Canis lupus familiaris: one gene and its partners. The protein of the gene in region 3 binds, or shares a complex with, the protein of the main gene of each other region. Links are inferred from orthologs where the notes say so. Each region holds a gene or a part of one and is shown on either strand. Other genes may lie near its edges.

Evidence for each region.
Region 1: CDK2AP2 (region 3) and MTA1 share a complex: the UniProt entries of both Homo sapiens proteins name them as parts of the nucleosome remodeling and deacetylase (NuRD) repressor complex. The link is inferred for Canis lupus familiaris from reciprocal best matches to the Homo sapiens genes CDK2AP2 and MTA1.
Region 2: CDK2AP2 (region 3) and MTA3 share a complex: the UniProt entries of both Homo sapiens proteins name them as parts of the nucleosome remodeling and deacetylase (NuRD) repressor complex. The link is inferred for Canis lupus familiaris from reciprocal best matches to the Homo sapiens genes CDK2AP2 and MTA3.
Region 4: CDK2AP2 (region 3) and MTA2 share a complex: the UniProt entries of both Homo sapiens proteins name them as parts of the nucleosome remodeling and deacetylase (NuRD) repressor complex. The link is inferred for Canis lupus familiaris from reciprocal best matches to the Homo sapiens genes CDK2AP2 and MTA2.

Annotation. Positions count from the first base shown.
Region 1 is NC_049229.1:73,159,507-73,164,420, reverse strand, and holds the start of MTA1 (metastasis-associated protein MTA1), read right to left. Parts: upstream 3,176-4,914; 5' UTR 3,033-3,175; coding exon 2,621-3,032; intron 2,160-2,620; coding exon 2,092-2,159; intron 35-2,091; coding exon 1-34. UniProt on the Homo sapiens protein: Transcriptional coregulator which can act as both a transcriptional corepressor and coactivator. Acts as a component of the histone deacetylase NuRD complex which participates in the remodeling of chromatin.
Region 2 is NC_049238.1:34,301,300-34,306,050, forward strand, and holds the start of MTA3 (metastasis-associated protein MTA3), read left to right. Parts: upstream 1-1,576; 5' UTR 1,577-1,636; coding exon 1,637-1,664; intron 1,665-3,329; coding exon 3,330-3,397; intron 3,398-4,751. UniProt on the Homo sapiens protein: Acts as a component of the histone deacetylase NuRD complex which participates in the remodeling of chromatin.
Region 3 is NC_049239.1:50,472,043-50,476,921, forward strand, and holds CDK2AP2 (cyclin-dependent kinase 2-associated protein 2), read left to right. Parts: upstream 1-2,045; 5' UTR 2,046-2,641; coding exon 2,642-2,723; intron 2,724-3,028; coding exon 3,029-3,129; intron 3,130-3,215; coding exon 3,216-3,348; intron 3,349-3,705; coding exon 3,706-3,773; 3' UTR 3,774-4,243; downstream 4,244-4,879. UniProt on the Homo sapiens protein: Acts as a component of the histone deacetylase NuRD complex which participates in the remodeling of chromatin.
Region 4 is NC_049239.1:54,555,337-54,560,333, reverse strand, and holds the start of MTA2 (metastasis-associated protein MTA2), read right to left. Parts: upstream 3,176-4,997; 5' UTR 3,025-3,175; coding exon 2,997-3,024; intron 2,708-2,996; exon of another isoform or gene 2,635-2,707; coding exon of another isoform or gene 2,625-2,634; intron 2,309-2,624; coding exon 2,241-2,308; intron 1,866-2,240; exon of another isoform or gene 1,798-1,865; coding exon 1,704-1,797; exon of another isoform or gene 133-1,703; coding exon 15-132; exon of another isoform or gene 1-14. Other genes in the region: EML3 (echinoderm microtubule-associated protein-like 3), read right to left, coding at 3,681-4,258, 4,357-4,377, 4,765-4,863. UniProt on the Homo sapiens protein: May function as a transcriptional coregulator. Acts as a component of the histone deacetylase NuRD complex which participates in the remodeling of chromatin.

The DNA of each region.
Region 1 (4,914 bases), on a different chromosome or scaffold from region 3:
ACACCACCTTGGCCTCCACGTTGCCGTTGGCCGTCTGCAAGAGCAAGGCAGGGTCTGAGCAACGCACGCCCCCGACCGGCCGGCGGCTGCCAGCAGGGGCGGCCCAGAGGGGCCTCGAGTGACCCCAGGGCCGGCAGGTCGCGGGAGAAGCCAAGCCCAGGGAGCGCTGACGCCGAGTGGGCCGGGGCACGTCTGACCGGGGAGGGGCGCTCGGCGGACCTGAGCCCTCCAGCGGTGCACCCTCCTCCTGGCCCGCCAGCCAGGTCCCCCTGTTGACCTGCGTCCCTCCCCCAGGCCTTGCTCGCTCAGGACCAGAACCTGGTGGACGTCCGGACGCTGGAAAGGCCACAGCCCCTGGGCCCCACCTTCCAGCACCCCTGGGGTGGATCAAGGCCTCTGTCGCACCGCTGGGCAGACCTCAGCGCCAGGGGCCTGGTTCCCCATCAGAACTGGAAGCAGCCACGGGGGCACCTGGTCAGGCGGCCGCCTCTCAATTTCAGCCCAGGTCGTGACCTCAGGGTCACGGGGCCGCGCCCCACGGGCTCCCTGCTCAGCGGGGGTCTGCGCGGGGCTCCCCGCTGGCGCCCTCCTTGGAACCACAGGGGCTGGAGCAAGCAGTCGGTGCCCCTGCCCCGCCGGCCCCCGGGGAGGCCGCCAGCGCCCAGACGCCTTCCAGGACCTCCGAAGAGCTCAGCAGACACGAGAGAGGTGGGGGGGCGGGGAGCGCCGGGTGACCAGCCGGGAGCTCAGGGGCCGCAGCCAGCTGCCGCCCCCGCCCTGCGCCAGAGCTGCGCCCAGACGAGCCCCGACTTCCGGGGACTTGACCCTCGGGGCCGTTTCTCCTGTGCCCAAGGGGCCCTGGGGGCCTGGGGGCTCCGGGCAGGGTGGCCCCAGCAGGGAAGGGCCCACAAAACGAGCTCCCAGCGGCCCCAGCCGGGACTGCCCCGGGTCCCCGGGCAGCAGGGGAGGCGGGCTGCGGGGGCCAGAGGGTCCCTCCCGCCCCACCCCAGTACTGAAGGGGGCTGCAGGCTCACACGCAGACGCCCATCGACCCCACCCCGAGCGCTCCAATGGCGGGCTGTGGCCACTGCCGTGCAGACCCGTCACCTGCAGGCTGCCACAGGTGGTGCCACCTGCCCTCTCCACGTCACAGCCAAAGCGAGGGGCAGGGGCTGTGCTGGCCCCACCCGAGACCCACTGCCCGCGGCCAGCCCAGCAGTGGGCCCCCGGCTCCCCCGCCACGCTCCCCACCGCTCACTGGAGTCGCGGGCCCGACCCCATGTGTTCCCGAGCCGATGCCCACCCCGTGCCCTGCTGGCCCTGCTGCCCGGGCGGGCCGTGGGCAGCTTCCCCCAGCAAGCACCCGCGGGAGGTGGCCCCACAGCGTCCTGGTCACTGCCCTCGCCCTGCCGCGTCCAGACCTGGCCCAGCCTCCCAGGAGCTGCCAGGCTGCAAGGACCAGCCCCACACGCTGTGTGCAGCGGAGGCCTGGGGGCACCCCCTCCCCCGGGCAGATGCTGCGCAGGAGTCTCGGGAACGGGGGCACAGGGGTCGGGGCTCGGCTGCCACCAGTCTGCTCCGTGGAGCACCAGCACCCCGACCTCCGCCCCCAGCCCGCCGGTCCCAAGGATGCCCAGCCACGCTGCCGTGCTCGGGGTCCAGGAGAGCAGCCCTTGAGGACTGGCCTCACGGAGCACAGCCAGTCGGGGACAACAGGTGCTCCGGGGCCAGGGACTCCACGGCCGCAGGGACACTCCTGCCTCTCCCCAGTGCTGCCGGGGGCGCCTCAGAGCGGGAGGCTGGCGGGAGGGGGGGCGGCTGCGAGGGCCCAGAGCGGGGCGGCAGGGGCCTGAGTGAGCCGGGAAGAGGCAGAGGCAGCAGGTGGGCGGGGAGACCCCGGCCAGGGGGACCCCACAGGGCGCCCCTGTCCCACAGAGCACACCCGCCACAGGGACCCCACGGAGAGCTCTCCAAGGAGAAGGACCCAGGTGTAGGCGTGTGGCACGGGAACAAAGCCACCGAAGGGTCTGGGGCCGGCCCTGAAGCCCCGGGCGGCCCCCCCCCACCACGCGCCCCCCCCCATGCACGTACCTTGTTGAGCTCCTCGATCCTGCGAATCAGGTACGGGTTGCTGGAGGAGTTCTCAAAATAGACGTAGTCTGCAAACAGGAACAGAGTGCGTCACCCCGCAGCACTGAGCCCGGGGACCAGGGGAGCCCCGACCCCCCTCACACCCGCGCCCAGTTCTAGGGGCCAGGGAACAGGAGGGAACGAAGGACACGGTGCCCCTGCCACCTTAGTGCACAGACAGGTACCCAGACATGTTGGTGGGTGCCGGGCACGGGTCCTAGAGGACGGAGGGGGCTGTCCCGGGCAGAGGGTCCACACGCCCCGCCCCCTGCCCCGCGCAGACGCTGTGGGAGCCGGACTGCAGCTTCCCCCAGGACAGCTTCCGAGGGGCTGCCGGGCGCCTGCACCTGCCCCCCCACCCCACGCGCCCCGGGCAGGGAACGGAGGAGGCCGGGGCTCCCTGGGCAGAGGCAGGGCTCTCGGGGGTGCGGACGGGGTCAGGTGCCAGAGGAACGAGGTCCCGCCACCGCCCGCCAGGTCCCCAGCACACCATGTGGGCACCAGCTCGCCTCCGGCTCCAGAGCAGCCTGGGATCGGTCCCCAGGAGGCTGGCAGGCACCCGGGATTTCCCAAGAGGCCCACGGGGGCGGCTGGCCGGCTCCCACGGAGCCCAGGCCAGCCGGGAGGCCACCCAGCTGCCAGCCTGGCCGCCGCCGTGATATAGCAGGTAGCTCGGGGCAGCTGCGGGTGACTCGGTGCCAGGACGAGGCCAGGCTGCAGTCCCCAGCAGGGGTGCCCCGCGCTGTCCCCCGTGCCCCAGGGAAGGCCTGCAAGAGGCCCGTGTCAGCCGGGACACAGCCAAAGGGCCACTCGGAGCACAGATCTTGCCCCAGGACCCAGGCCAGCTCCGTCCTCTCAAGAGGTCCTACCGCTCCACCGTGTGGAGAGGCCCCAGCAAGCATCTGGCACCTGCTGCTGCTGTGTACCTGCTGCAGGCACCTGAGGGGGCTCACCTGTGCTTGGGGGGGGGCGCTCACCTGTGCTGCAGAGGAGAGCTCACCTATGCTGCAGGGAGATGGGGGCGCTCACCTATGCTGCTGCGGGAGGCTCACCCGTGCTGCAGGAGAGGCTCACTATGCTGGGGGGTCCTCACCTATACTGTAGGAGGGAGCGCACCTGTGCTGCTGGGGGGGGCTCACCTGTGCTGCCCGAGGCCACAGCCGGATGGGACGCGGCCATGGGCACCCACAGAGCTCCACGGAACGAAAGAGCAACAGCACTAACAGCCCAGAGGGAACAGGGCTGCCGGGCTCAGAGGGCCACGCTCGCGGGCTGGGGGGGAAGAGAGCTCTACGGGAGGGGGCCATCGACGGGCTCGAGGTCGGCTTGACGGCAGTGGAAACACTCTGAACACAGACCGCGGCCACACCGTACGCCTCGTGAGCGGGTGAATTTTATCACACGTGAATTGTCGCTCAAAAGAGCAGTTTTAATATAAAGCCCTATTGGTCTTAAAGCTTTCATCCAAAGAAACCAAAAAACCAATTAAATCAAAGCTGTCGGGGATCCCTGGGTGGCTCAGCGGTTTAGCGCTGCCTTTGGCCCCGGGCGTGGTCCTGGAGCCCCGGGATCGAGTCCTGCATCGGGCTCCCTGCGTGGAGCCTGCTTCTCCCTCTGTGTCTGTCCCTCTCTGTGTCTCTCATGAATAAATAAGTAAAAAATCTATTTTAAAAAAAAATAAGTAAATAAACCAAAGCTGTTATTCACATGCAGTCTACACTGGACACGACCCAGGAGGAGCCCCACCGGCCCTGCATGCGGCTCTGAGGATCCCTGCTCAGGCAGGGGGCTGGGGGGCACGGGGCTGCGTCCCAGCCGCCAGTTGCACCCCTGCATGTGCTCCCCACAATTCAGACCTGCACGCCTGAGACGGGTGGGTTAAGCTTTGGTAGATGGGAAAACACGCAAAGCAAAAAGATGGTAGATGATGAGCAAAAACCAGCATAATGAGGAAAAATGAACTCGTGTAAACAGCCAGTAAGGGGATCAACCTCAGGCCAGGGTGACAAAGGAAAGACCCGGAGGGTGAGTGAGCGAGAGCTGGGTAGGAGGGGGCTCCCGGCGCCGCTGCCTGACGGCTCAGGTGACACGGGGCCCGCGCTGGGCAGACGCAGACCCCCGAGCTCCCTGCAGACAAACAGGCAACCCTGTGCCCTAAAGAAATCAGGCTCGGGCAGCCCGGGGGGCTCAGCGGCTTAGCTCCACCTTCAGCCCAGGGCGTGATCCCGGGGACCTGGAATCGAGTCCCACGTCGGGCTCCCTGCGTGGAGCCTGCTTCTCCCTCTGCCTGGGTCTCTGCCTCTCTCTGTGTCTCTCATGAATAAATTAAATAAAATCTTAAAAAAAAAAAAAATCAGGCTCAGGGGCACCGTGGTGGGCTGAGAGTCTGCCTTTGGCTCAGGTCACGATCCTGGGGCCCCGGGGTCAAGCCCCACGTCGGGGTCCACGCTCAGCCTGGAGCCTGCTTCTGCTTCTCTCTCCCTTTCCCTCTCCCTGTGTTCTCTCTCTCTTTATTTTTATTTCTTTTTAATTTTTTTTTTATTTATTTATGATAGTCACAGAGAGAGAGAGAGGCAGAGACACAGGCAGAGGGAGAAGCAGGCTCCATGCACCGGGAGCCCGACGTGGGACTCGATCCCGGGTCTCCAGGATCGCGCCCTGGGCCAAAGGCAGGCGCCAAACCGCTGCGCCACCCAGGGATCCCTCTCTCTCTCTTTAAAGTAAATAAAATTCAAAAAAAAAAAAAAAAAAAGAAAGAAAGAAAAAGAAAAGTAAACCCTTTCA
Region 2 (4,751 bases), on a different chromosome or scaffold from region 3:
TTCTCATTTTGTACCTGAATAAATTTGGGTGACACACATCATCAAGGTAATTCAGGCAAATGTGCTTTATTTTTTACTTTGCCTCAGCTATATAGAGCATTATTTTTTTCACTTTAATAATTTGTGATCATGGACCATCACATATGCCATCACCATTCAAACACAACACAATCTTCTTTTCTGGGGACACTGCCCATCCCTGCACAGATCCCATACCCAGGGTCACCAACATGTAGCTGTAAATCACCAGAAACTCCACAAACAACTCACAACAGTGAGGGATCATCTTACCCTTGATTATATAATGATGTCTGGAAGTAGTTTGGAATGGATTGGCTTTTTATTTTTTCAATTTAAAACAAATTTTTATCAAGGTTTATTTGAGAGAGCACTTGGAGGAGAGGCAGAGCGACAGGGAGAGAGAATCCCAAGCAGACTCCTCACTGAGCATGGGGGGGGGTGTGTGTGTGTGCCTGGACACCGCCTCCAGATAATGACCTGAGCCAAAATCAAGAGTCAGGTGCTGCTGGCTTTTTAAAAAGTTGTTTGCATTCATTTGGGGGATTGCCAGCTAAGATTCAATTCAATTTGTTTTTTTGCTTGTTTCTGTGAGGGAATGGAGGCTGAGAATGCTGGGATTGCCTAGAGAATTGGCATGGGAAAATAATGATTCAAAAGCATTAGGCACATAACTAGTTAAAAGTCCATCAACAGTAAGGGGACTGAAACCATCTCCCCCTTTGTGGAGAGGGGGTGGGAATGGCGAATAAGTAGGGTCCCTTTCCTAAGGGCCTCTTTTCCTGGCAGGGCGGCACTGGATATAGGGTCTGTCTAGAGGCCAGGCCTCCGCTGGGAGTGGGTTCTGTTCAGCCCACGCGTGGGGTGAACTTGATAGACCTGTCAATGCAGTTGGGGTGACTTGGGAGGGGGTCAGTGTTTTTGGACTTCTCTCCAGCTAGCACGCTCCCTGGGGAAGCTGGTAGCACCAGGGTCCTCCTGGCCCCAAGGTATGCGGGTTCCATCACCACCATGAGGCAGGCGCTCTGCTGGGCGCACTTATTTGTTTCCAAGTGTTTGCCCTGAGGCAGGCGCCCACGTGCTCAAGGTCTTGCATACAAGGGCTCCCCAGGGACGCAGCAAGGAGGAAGACCTGTCTGCGGGTGGCCAGGTGACAGGGTACGGTGGCTGGGGCTGTGTGGGCTCGGGAGAGCCTGAGCCCCTGCCCCCACCCCAATTCTCCCACCGCTCCAGGTCCGCATTTGCCACTGCAGGCCTCCGCTTCGGCCACGACCCTTGCCCTGGGGTCGCCCACCTCCGGCGAGGGCCCCCAAGCCGCCGCCTCCCCAGGTCCCCGCGGGCCCCGCAGCGACCTCCCCCGGCCCGGCCCGGCCCGGCCCGCTCGGCCCGGCTGGCCCGTCGCTGGGGGCGGGAACCTGCCCCCACCCCGCGGCGTCCCCTCCCCTTCGCTTCCCCCTCCCCTCCCCTCGGTGCCTCCCTCCCCTCCCCCCCGCGGCGAGGCGGCGGCGGCGGCGGCGGCGGCGGCGGCGGCCGAGGCTGAGGCGGCCGAGGCTGAGGCGGCGGCGGCGCGGCGCGGCGGGCGGGGCTCGGCTCGGGCTCCGCGGGCGGGCGGGCGGACATGGCGGCCAACATGTACCGGGTCGGAGGTAGGAAGGCTCGGCCCGACCCGGCCCGTCTGGGAGCGGGCTCCGGGAGTGGGGGGTCGGGGCGAGTTCACCCTAACCGCCGGGGGCCGCGGGCGCGGGGGGCAGGGGCGCCGGGGCCCGCAGGAGGGGCCGGGGCTCCCCACCCGCGCCACCCGCGCCACCCGCCCCTCCCCCGGCCGTGGCCCGCCGGGGGCCGGCGCCCACCTTCCCCCTCGCTCGCACCCCCGCTCAGTTTTCTAGGGCCGGCCGGGCCTGTACTTGGGGGTGTGAATTCTCAGCTGCCCCCCTCCGAGACGCCCCCATTGGGTGTCGGCCGTCGAGCCCCCAGTGGGGTGCTCTTTCCCTGCGTGGCTTCCAGGCAGTGGGGGGGTTGGAGAGGATGGGGGGACGCCCCCCCGCTCTACTCCTTCACCCCTTCAGTTGGGAGCGGGGGGTGGGGGCGATGGGGGCTCAGCCAGGCACAGCTGGACAGGCCTGTTGGCGGGGATAGGGCCCTTCACCTCTCCTTCCTCACTCCCCCCTCCCGTTTCTTGCCCAGCCCCCCCAAGATGGGGCGTAGTGGGGCCAGGGCACCGCGGCCAGAGGTGGGGAGTTGAGCTCTGCCCGGACGTTTGCTCTGGTGACTGCCTTCTCAGCCCTCTGCAGAAAAGAGAAATAAGGTCAAACAAACTTTCTCCCTACTCACGACGCCCTCCTCCCTCTTTCTTGGTAGAATAATAATTCAGATAAGTGGCGTGTTTGTGTGTGAGACTTGGTCTTCTCTGCTCATTAGCTGAGCTCCTGATGGATGGTAGTGGGAATGGCCTGGCCAAATGAGGCCACTTTGCAGAAGAGAGACGACGGAAAGAGCCACTAAGATAGACAATAACAATGCAGCCCAGCCTTTCAAATAAACACACAGTGGGAAGTTTCCAGTGAGCCTATTACAGGAGAGGAAAAGCCACACTTGAAAATTTTTATCTTTTTTATTGAAAGCCTGCGGTGATTTTTTTTTTTATAACAAGACCCCAAATGGATCTGTATTAAATATGGTAAAGAGCATAACAAAATCCTGATAACCATCTCCAGAGAGCTCTGTCTCTCAGAAAGGGAATCCCCTTTCATGCCCCCCCCCCCCCCCCCAATCATCCCAGATAGAGCTGTGGAAGTTTGTCAGTGTGCTTCCTCTTACCTATTCTGCTCACCTGATTTTTTTTTTTTTTTAAGTTGGTGATTGAAATGTACTTTGGGCTGCTAAGCTTTTCAAGATGCTCTGAATTTGTCTTAGGTCAATAGTTTTATGTGAGAAGCATACTCCAGGGTAAATTGGATTGGAGGGGAAAGATGTGGAAGCAGTTATAGCATGAAAGACACATGTTTAGTCAGCCCTGACTACTCGGTGATGAGGAGTCTTTTTGTTTATTATTAAAGAAGTGATGTGTGGCATGAAAGGCTCAGAGAGCTTGATAAAACATTAATTGTTAAATGAAAATTTCAGGAAAATAAGGGTCTGTGAATAGTAGGCATGAGAAAATATATTAAGGTTGTATTGCTAAATTTGCTTTTAACCGGGAATGAATTATGTGCTTCATTTTGAATGTGCATTGCCTAATATAGAAAGTCATAGATTGACAAATGTGAACTTTCTGTTGAAAAGATTAAGGTCTTTACTTCCTTTAATTACAGATTATGTCTACTTTGAGAATTCCTCCAGTAACCCGTACCTAATCAGAAGGATAGAAGAACTCAACAAGGTATAAACGCTAAGTGTTCTTGATTCTAATATTAAAAAAAAATTGTTTTCCATTGACGAGTAATTAGGTAAAGGGCATAAGAGGTGATTTTACTTTCAGTCCTGGACTCTTTGAAACTAGAGATTGAAGATTAGAGAGTTATGCAGGATTCTGAATATTCTTTTGCTTTTATAATTACCTATGATATTAAATGTTACTGAATATTTAACATCTGCAGATTTCTGGGATGCCTGGGCTCAGTGGTTGAGCATCTGCCTTTGGCTCGGGGCGTGATCCCAGAGTCCCAGGATCAAGTCCCACATCGTGCTTCCTGCATGGAGCCTGCTTCTCCCTCTGCCTACATCTCTGCCTGTCTGTGTGTCTCTCATGAATAAATAAATAAAATCTTAAAAAAAAAAATCTGCAGATTTCTTCACGTTGCTCAGATCTTCTCGGAGCAGGTCACTCTTGTAACTGTCCCTTTTTATATTTAGAGTCATAATTGTATTTCTTTCAGGGAATTATTTTTTCCTCTTTCAGCTTTAGAAAGAGGAAGCTAGGAAATGTAGTATTGAAGCGAATTTGTAAAATTTTGGACTAGGTCAACTAATAAGAATACAGTTTTGTTATAATGTAAAGTAGCTTCCTACTTTAGGCCTGACAGCAGAAGCTTTGTGACTGTTTGCAATAGGTGAGCTTATTATAATGGTAGCATATGAAAAGCCATAAACTATATGAACCATGGATTACTAATGGTGCTCTGGTTTCCTCCAAACCAACTTTGAAGATTATTTGTTTTACTTATGAGAGTTCATAGTGTTAAAATGTCGGAAGCTGTCTTGCTAATACCTTTCCTCCAAAGTACCTTCTAGAGACTGGGGAAGTTCTGAGTCCCAGGATGTAAGATTTGGTTTAGGGCATTTCTGGTTTATGAACCCTGAGATCTTGGTTTGCTTCTGGAGACATCCCCATGGACCTTACATCTATAAAAATTCTGTTGTAGTTGAGACCACCACCATCAAATGAAGAAAATGACCTCAGGATTAGATCAGTCTGTTGGTGGGAACAGTTGGGGTGTCATTTTGATCTTTTTTTTTTTTTAAAGATTTTATTTCTCCATGAGACACACACACACACACACACACACACACACACACACAGAAGCAGAGACACAGGCAGAGGAGAAGCAGGCCCATGCAGGGAGCCTGACGCAGGACTTGATCCCCGGTCTCCAGGATCAGGCCCTGTGTTGAAGGCGGCGCTAAACTGCTGAGCCACCTGGGCTGCCCTCATTCTGATCTTCTCTTTTATTTTAGTGATGTGTAAGAGTGTAGGCAACTTGAAACTGTTTATGAGTTTATTTAGAAAATTAATT
Region 3 (4,879 bases):
TTATTTACTCAACCATTTATATGTATAAATGATATACATAAATATACATATATATATATCAGTATAGGCTTATAGATATTTATTTTATGCAAGTTATAATCCTATTCTTTTTAAAATTTTGTTCAAATTGCTCCAGCTTTGGCCACTGGCAGCCCTTTCAGCTGGCTCCTGTATCCCTTTGGTATATACCCATCATGTTAGCATTTGGGGTTTGGGATTTTGGGGTGTGGTGGGTTTGGGGTTTTGTGAGGTTTTTGGCTTTTTTTGTTTTGTTTTTTTTCTTCCAAGATCATCTTGTATATTTCCTACCCCAGTCTTAGAATTAGCCATTTCTCCAAGGAACTCTGGTTCATTTTATTGGAGAATGCTATTAGAAACCAAGATCTGGGTGCTAAGTTGCTTCTAGGCCCTCTCAGCAGACAGAGGAGATACCCATGTACACTAATCTGTGTATATGCAGTCTTTATATAATTTCTCTATGTAACCAACTGTATCTACATTGAGCTAAACATGAGTTCATACTGATATCTCCAGTTCCAACCTTGATCGTGTTAGCCTCCTCCACATGCTTACCTGTCACTACTTATTCCAACAATAAGAAATCATCCATCCTGACTTAACTGTCAATTCTAGTGTACATGTGCTGTGGCTTCACAATTGTTAACCCATACTGCCACAGAAAACCGCTTCATCAACTAAAGTTGATGCTTACCCGCAGCTCCTTTACATTCACTTACAGACTCCGCCCATTTCCAGATTAGCACCTTACTCCCCCACCCCTTTAGTGAGGCTGTCTCAATCCTACCATACAAAATAACTTCACTGCCTTAAAAAAAAAAAAAAAAAAAAAAAAAAATCCCCGATGTCACTCATTTAACTCTACCCCTCACCACCCCCGGCACCCAGTAATCTGTTTACCTCATGTATGAGTTTGTCTTTTCCAGAATGTCATACAATTGGAACCATACAGCGCATAGCTTTTTCAGACTGGCTTCTTTCGCTTAGAAATATGCCTACCTGTGTCTTTTCAGAGCTAGATAGATGATTTCCTTTTATTGCTGAATAAATAGTCCCTTATACGGATATATCACAGTTTGTTCATTCGCCAATTGAAAGCTGCCTCCTCTGCAAAGACTCCTGTGATGTCACCAAGCAGGCTCCTTCCTCTTAGTTCCAATGCATCCTGTATACCAGTCTCCACATTGTCTTATTGTGCTGTGTGCCTTTGCTTTCCTGTCTGTCTCTCCTTGAGACCAGGAGCTCCTTGAGGAGAGAAGCCACGGCCAGTTCATTTCCATATCATCAGTGTCCCGCACAAGGATGGAGGATGGAGTCAGAAAATGCCTGTTGGATGAATGGACGAATGAATGAAATGTCACGGAGAGGAGGAAAATCTACAGACCTGGGGCATGAAGAATACACAAGGCCAGAATAGTTTTGAGGCGAAGTAGCCCAAGAGAAAGGGTTAGTGTTCGGAGGAAAGTCTAAGATCTAGGGTGGTGAGGAATGAAATTTGAGGGGAGGGGTCTGGATGCAGAAATGGAAAGAAAAGAGGACAATGAAACAAGCTCCTTATGAATATTCATTTATCCACACAACCCTGTAAGACAGTTATTACTAACGTCCGCATCTTTACGATGGGGAAACCCAAACATACTAGGGTAACTTGCCCAAGGGGAAATCGCTGGTGCGGTGGGGTGAGATTCGAACCATCAGCCTCGCTCCACTTGGTGCTCTCACCCAAGATCGGTTTGGTACAGGGCCCGGCGAGCGGCGAGAATTCAACGAAGGCGAGATGATCCTGCTGTTGCCAGTAGGAGGCCCAGGCTCGGAGTCTTGGAGGACTGGCTGAGGGGTCTTTGAGGCCGCCCTCGGACCTAACACGAGCTTAGACCAAAGGACGAGGCAAACCCGAGAGGCGCGGAGGCAGCGTCGATGAGGGACCCGTTGCCATAGGAACAAACGGAAGCTTTAGGAGGGCGCATGCGCAGGCCGGGGAAAGGGTGTGGAGCCGGCGAAAGGTGACGTAAAAGCGCACGGGGTGAGACGCAGGGCTCCGCACGTCAAAGCCCTGCGTCCTCCGGCATTCAGTGCAGTGGAAAGGCGCGCGCGGTGCTGGCGCCGGCAGTGATAGCAGCCCCAACTGGACCGAGAGCAGGCGGTGCGGAGCTGACGTGCAGAGCAGCGCCAGTGAAGCGTGAAGGCGGCGCCCGCGCCGGGAAGACCCCTCCGCGCAAAACGCGGCCGACCGGACCCGGGTCCCGGCTTCCAAGGCCCCGCCTCTCGGGCCTTGGGACTAATCGGATTGAGAGCGCGCCGGCCCGGACCCCGAACTCGCCAATTGCGTAGGGCGTCAGCTACCGCCCAATCCGGAGCAGACAGGTGCGAGGTCCGAAAGGCGGAGACCAATCAGCAGCGGTTGCGGCCTGTTGGGGCCGATCTCTGCCAATGAGGAGGCCCGAGTGACATCCGCGCACACCAATCGGGAGTGAGAGAGCGTTCGTGCCCGCCCGCCCTTCCGGCCTGAGCTCTATTTACCAGGGGCGTGCGGCCGGTTTACCAATCAGAGCGCGGCTGAGCGGCCGAGCAGCCAACCCCGGAGGAGCGGCCGGCCGGCGTCCGCCGCACCCGAGAGTTGGGGATGTCCTACAAACCCATCGCCCCCGCCCCCAGCAGCACCCCCGGCTCCAGCACCCCTGGGCCCGGCACCCCGGTCCCCACAGGTGAGGATCCGACTCTACCCCTGCTCGCCTGCCCGGGTGGTCGAGGTCTCGAGAACACGGCCCGAGTTCTGCAACACTGGGCCTGCTGCCTCCCCTCTCTGAGCCTCAGTTTGCTGGCCTGTGAAGTGGGCGTGGTCACGTAAGGGCTAGTTGGTGGAGCGCAGGGGGAGGGGTTTGTCGCTGAAGTTGAGCGCCTGGAGCGAAGTATCCCTTTGGAGGGAAGCGGGCGAATCCGGTCGGGGGCTTGGAACGCTGGGAGGCCGGGTCCCGGCCCCGCGCTGACCTATTACTCGCGCATGTTGCAGCCGGAAGTGTCCCATCGCCGTCGGGCTCAGTGCCGGGAGCCGCTGCCCCTTTCAGGCCCCTGTTTAACGACTTTGGACCGCCCTCCATGGGCTATGTACAGGTGAGTGGGGTGAGGGATTGCCTACGGACGGGGACTGGAGGTCCCCGCGGGCCCTGAGCTCATGGCCCTGTCCTCTTTTGACATAGGCAATGAAGCCACCTGGCGCCCAGGGCTCCCAGAGCACCTACACGGACCTGCTGTCGGTCATAGAGGAGATGGGTAAAGAGATCCGGCCCACCTATGCTGGCAGCAAGAGCGCCATGGAGCGCCTGAAGAGAGGTAAGTGAGGCTTCCACCCTCCCTGCTCAGGAGACTAACACTGGACAATCCTTCCTTAGCAAAGGAAGGACATCTGGAGGCCGCGTGACCCAAGCCTAAACAAGGGTGGGTGTCACTTTCCAGGGAGGTGTTTTGAATTGAATTGAAATTGAGTCCGTTTGGGGGGAAGGACCAGGGCATTTGTCTTTCAAAAGGACAAATTTGAGGATTAGCCAAATCGTTAATCTCATCAGGCCCTTTATCATCCTCCTCCCTTTCACTGGAAGGAAAGGGGGTGGGGAAGGAGGGTCTTCCTCTGGAGGATGAGGGTGGGACCCTGCAGGGTCGCTGCATGTTACTTGCCCATTCCCACCTCAGGCATCATCCATGCCCGGGCCCTAGTCAGAGAGTGCCTGGCAGAGACAGAGCGGAACGCCCGCACGTAACAGGACGCAATTCCACCGCCGAGTCTGGACCTTTCCTGGCCACTGCAGAGCACCTGCTTCTCCCTGGCCTTCACCCCGAGTTGCACTTCCCAACCTGGGCTTCCTGTCCTGTGTCCCCTGGTGGGTGCCCTCCAGGAACCAGGGGGCGGCTCTCACTCCAGCCGACAACACTTGACTGGGACTCTTTCAAGAGTTAGCAGCGAGGTCACTGTGAGTCCCGCCCATGACCTGCCAACAGTGTTGATCCAACTGGAGCTTGCTCCTTTCTGTGGCCCCCACCACTCAGCACTTACCCAGGACTTGTCACCACCTTTCCTAGACTCCTCCCCTAGCAAGGCCTCCCTAGGCCTGTCACCTCCCTGCCTTGTCTCCTGGGCCATAGCGACTCTTTTTTCAGTCAGTGTCTTTTGCTAAATATGCCCTTTTTGTATAAATAAAAGATAATTTGGAGTTGTTCTCTCACCTCTTAATCTTTCTGAGTGTGGTGCTTCTGCTGAGCCAGGAAGAAATTGGAAAAGAGGAGATCGAGGAGGGGAGAGGGGCAATGCAGTGGTGGGAGACAGGGCCACTGAACCTGGCCTGGCCTGGCTCCTACTGTCCATTGACTTGGCTGGGACCCTGCCCTCCTCCAGCCCTGGGCCTTCACAGTTCTGAGTCTTGAAAAGGCTTAAGCTCCAGTAGCTGTGAGCCCTACCCTCCTACACGTGGTGCCACCAGGGGGCAGCCTGGAGCTTTAGCCGCCTCCACAGCTGGAGGGCACTGTCGCCAGCCCGGGCCTAGAGGGTTCTTTCTCTGGATTGGCAGTCAGTGCCTGGCAGGGTGGAAATGTCAGTTCATATAAGCCAGGCCCTCACGTGTCTTAATTTTCTAAAATCTTAACCTCCCAGTCAACCCTGGAAGGTTCTGAACACGTCCTGACTTCTCAGAGGAGAGGGGGCACTGCTGCTGCTTTTCTCCAGCACCTGAGAAGCAGAGCCAAGGGGAGAGGATGGTCTTCCAACAGGAGCGAGATCCAGCTTGGTGCTGCCATCCACTGTCCCAGCACCTCCTAGCCAGCTGGGTGTGGTCCCGTGAGCCCAGCCCTCAGGTGTCTCAGCCTTTGCCCA
Region 4 (4,997 bases), about 4.1 Mb from region 3:
TGATTGTCCTATACCGTATGTGGGTGGCTGGTAAGGATTCAAATTGCCGAGAAAGAAAAAGCTCCCGGTGCTTCAGCTGATGTCGCTGCTGCTCTGACACCCCTGGCTGCTTTGATTCCTCCTCAAACTCCCCTGGGAGATGAAGGAGGAAGAAGCCAAGTCAGAAACTAATTCAGAAAGAAGCCACCCTGGCAACTCTAACCCCGGGGAAAACATTTCCTATTCCAGCTGGTTTTCACATTCCCCAGGCATCTACCTCTCAGCCCCTAAGCCCGCCAAACTTCCCACTTAGCCCTCTCCCCATTACAGTGCTCCCAACTCCCCATCACTAATGCCTTGGGAATCGCTGCTAAGAGTACAAAGAATGCCACAGAAATGCATCCCAAACCCAGGTGCCAATGCTTAAATGCCACTCATAAAGCACAAATCTGCCCACTTCAGGCCCAGCAAGAATATCACACTCCTCTCTCTTGCTAAACCAGCCCGAGTTCCAGAAACCCAATAAGGTGAAAAATCATCACACGAGGTTGTGTTTACTAGTTCTTTTCAGATTTCAGGAGTCTCTTTGCTCTTATACATCTCGCAGTCCTAACTATTCTTCACTGTCCACTTGACTAATGATTGTTTGTGGGGCTTCCAAGGACAGTACCTCTCAAGCCAGCGCCAGTGCCTTCCTCCCCAGGCACTGCAACTTTGCCCTGAAACCTTGGTGGAAAGGGTTAACTTGGCTGAGGGCCAACCAAAGCGGGAGGGGGCAGGAGAGCCACAGGCCCAGGCTCATTGGTGCATTGTTCCCAACCTCAGGGAGAAGGGGGGGGTGGGGTGCAGCAGGCTCCACCCCTCGCCTGTGTGCTCCGGAAACCCAGTGCTAAGGCAAGGGGGGGACCACACCCCCCCCACCCCTTCTGATTGGACAAGGCCAAGGTCAGCCCCTGCCAGATGGGGCTGGAAACCCCAGAGGGCCAGAGAACTTGGTAGGCCTAGCTCCTCGTTAACCCCTTCATGGCCACAGCTGCCTGAAATAAGGAAGATAATTTCAGAAGGAGGAACAAGAGGAAGAGGAAAGAAAGCCAAAGCAGGAAAGGAAAAAGAAACTAAGGAAAACATAAAGAAATAGTTTTTTTAAAGGAAGATGAAAGCATAAAGAGAAGGAAGATAACACAAAAGGAAAAGATGTAAAATGGAGTGGAGCAAAACAGAAGAGGTGAGAAAGAGGAAAAAGGGCAAGAAAAGTTTCCTAGTTTCCCATTCTCTTCCTTCAATGTATTCTCATTACTTCGTGATCGCAAAATTAGGCTGCTTCCTTGTTATGCAGGCTTCCAAGTACACGCTCTTCCTCTTCAACCTTGACCTTTACAGTCACTACCCATTGTCCCAAGGTACCCAAAACTGACCCCCAAGGGTCCTGCTTCTCTAAAGCTCTTCTTCATCCCCTACTTAAATACTATCATCTCTTTTACACCCATCATTCAGATACACACACACAAGCCATTTTCTGGCTTTCCTTATCATGGTCTCTCCACCCTGCTTCCAACCCCAACGTGTAAAAACAGGCCTCCCTCCGCAAACCAGGCATTTCTCACCCCCAAACTCACACCCCTGCTTTGGGCATGCTACCAGGGGAAACACCTGCAGGGACATGCCCAGGCCTCAGATCATGGGGAGGGGGAGCGTGGAGGGGGGGGGGGTGCAAAGACACTCACTGGCATTGCTATCAGCCAGACTATTGAGGCTACTAGAAATGTCCCTTCGCCGGAAAAGACACACAACCTTTGCCTCCACATTTCCATTTGCAGTCTAAGAGGATAAAAAAAAAAAAAAAAACAGCAGTTAAAGTTGGTCATTTTAAAGTGGAAACACAAAAAGAAGAGACTAACAACAGTGCATAAGTCTCTAAGGGGTATAAATAGAAAGACCCAAAAGATTATGAATAAAACTTGGCGTTTAAGGACAGACTTCCAAACTTTTTATCCTCCAGATTTTCCCTTTCCTTGGCCCAGGAGAGATAGAATAGAAGGTTCCCACCCAGCTCTCAAAAGCCTTTCCTGAATACACCGAATGAATGAATGAATGAATGAATGAATGAATATGAATGGGCGCTTAGGATAGGATTGGTTCCCCTCCACCCCGCCTCCGCCTTCCACCTGAAGTTAGTGACCTCAGAAGAAAAAGACCCTCCCGGAGGGGGGAGGGGGGGAGGCCAGACAGGACAGGGGTGGGACTCTCTCTGTTCCACTCACCTTGTTGAGCTCCTCAATCCGTCTAACCAGGTAAGGATTGCTGGAGGAGTTCTCAAAATAGACGTAATCTGTAGGAGGGGGTGGGGAAGCACCGGGAAGATCAGAGGGGGAGATGGGAAAGACAGCACCGGGGTGGGAGAGAGAGGAGGCCTGAGAGGACCAAGGGGATAAGGATCCAGGTAGAGAGGACGCTGAAATGTGGAAGTGGAGAGACCACGAGAAAACAAGGGGTTTCCCCACCACCACCCAAGTTCTAATCTCAAATCCTTCCCTCAAAAGTGAGCCTTAAGGAAGGAGCAAGAAGCAGGGGGTCCCCTGCCGTCCCTACAACTCCGCCAGGGAGATGCACCCGTCTCGGCCAAATGAGCAATCGCTGACCCTCACCTTTTAGCATCCAGGCGCACAATAACGCCCGGGAGGAGGACACCTCCCGGCGGCGGCCGCTCTGCCCCCTCCGCCCCCTGCCTGCCCTGTCAGCTCGAGCCGAACCACCCTCCCAGGCCCCGCCGCCCGACCCCGGGGGCCCCCGACGCGGCCAGGACGGCGCCGTCGCGGCCTCCCGCAGCCTCTCCGAAGGCCGCGGGGCCCCGCCGCGTCGCCGTCCCCGCAGCCTCGCTCCCCGAGCTCCCGGTTCCGGTTCCGGTCCGCGCTCGGGGCCACGCCGCCCCAGACGCGGCGACCCGCGCTGCCCGCCGCCGCGCCTCTCCGGCCCCGGCCCCGGCCCCGGCCCCTGCAGCCCCTGCGCCCGGTACTCACCCCCCACCCGGTACATGTTGGCCGCCATGGCCGTTCCCGCCGCCGCCTCCGGCCGCACAAAGGGGTCCGGGAGACTCGCGGTGGCAGGGCTCGGCGCGAGGCGAAGCCCCGAGCGCGGGGCTGGCGCTTCGCGGAAGTCTCGGTCGGTCCCGCGCAGCCGGCACCTCCGCCACCTCAGCCGTCTCGTTTCATCCCGGCCCGCGCCGTCGCCGCCGCCGCCGCCGCCGCCGCCGCCGCCGCCTCACGCCCGGGACGCCGAGGCCAGCGCCGGTCCGCTCGGCCTCTTCCGGAACGAGCTCGGCTCCCGCCGGACCGGAGCCAGGCTCCGGCGCCCCCACCTCCGCCCTCGCCGAGCCCCAGCAGACGTCGGACTCTGCCGGCCGCCGAGGAGGCTTGCCCTGCCCGCCTCGGGCTTCGCCTCCTTCCGGAACACCTTCGGCCGATCCGGAGAACAAGGCCCGGCGCTCGGCTCAGGTCGGAGAGACGGAGCCCAGAGATCGGCCGCTTCCGGAAGAGGTTCGGCTCCCTCCGGCCAACCGCGGCCGGGCGCTCGGCTATTTCCGTCGCGGCTCGGCCCCTCCTCCGAGGGCGGGAGAAGAGTTGGGCTTAACTCTATCCTCGCCGGAGCCCCCGTACCTCCGCCTGAGGCCACGAAAGACTCGCGCGCCTTCGCGCTTCGCCGGGTCATTTGCAAGCGGCTTTGCCTATCGTTTGCATGAGCGGCCTACGCTCCCCGACTCGGTCCAAACTCCTCTTTTTCTTCATCGCCACCCCCCAGGGCTCCGGAGGCACCCAGCCGCGCCCCACAAAAGGACTGAGAGGCGACTTTGCTTCTGGTTTATTGCCCCTCAGCAGGCGGCGGGAGTCGGGGCCCAGGCTGGGGCTGCCCGGCTCGGCCAGCGGGTCTCTACAGTGTGCGCGGGGGGTGCCACTCGCCCCCTCCAGGGAAACGCGCGACCAGGAATGTCTCGGAGTCCAGGAAAGGTGGGCCCCCGGCCCCGGGGGCTGCGGATGGGGCGGAGCCGGGCCGCGGGCCGGTGAGTGCCCTCCCGCAGCGGTCAGACGTCGAGAGAGGAGGCCGGGGACAGCGAGGGGGTTCGCGAGGGCGTGGCGGGCGCTGGCACCGCGCCCCCGGCGCCCAGCACTCGCCACTGGAAGATGCTGGCGTCCTTGCCGCCCAGCGAGATGAGGTGCGAGTCGTCGTGCGTGAACCGGACGCTGGTCACGTGGCTGCCGTGGCCGCCGTACACGAGGCTGGGCGCCTGGGCGGGAACCAAGACGGAGCTGCGGCGGCGCCGAGCCCGGGCCCGCCCGCCCGCCCGCCCGCCCGGCCGCAGCAGCCCAGCCCGCCAGGCCTCACCTTGGCGCGCGCGCACGGGTACTGGAACAGGTGCACTTTGCAGAAGTCGTCGGCCACGGCCACCACGCGCTCGTTGTGGGAGCGGCACAGGGAGTTGATGTCGGTGCCATCCGAGCCGTCGGGCCACACGCCTAGCACGGCGGCCAGCCTCAGTACGGCCTCCTCCCCGTGCCCACCCTCGGCCCAGGGACGCACGTTCTGGTGCTCAGGCAGGGCGGCCACCCACCGGCCGCGTCCCAGGCAATCCTTCCCAGTCCGTCCCGACAGCCCAGGGCCTGAGGGGCCGCCCGGGCTGGATCTGCCCGCTTCTAGACGCCAACCCCTTGACACACGCCCAGCATGCCGAGCCCAGGGAGGACTCCACCTTGCCCCCCACCCCTCCTGGATGGTTCCAAAGGCCCTGCTCACCATAGACATGGAAGCCCAGCACGCAGGTGTAGGTGGCCCACTCCCGGTCTCGGCTGTCATAGCGATTCCTCAGCAGCTTGCAGCCTCCAACTACGTCCCCTGGGGAGAGGGCCGGGGCCCACCCAGCTCAGCTCTAACCCTGCCCTCAGTCGGGAAGACTTCGGGAAGGGCACATCGTTAAGACTTGCTTGAGGTAGTGGCCAGTGATCTGGTCACCAAGGTAGCCCTCAGCT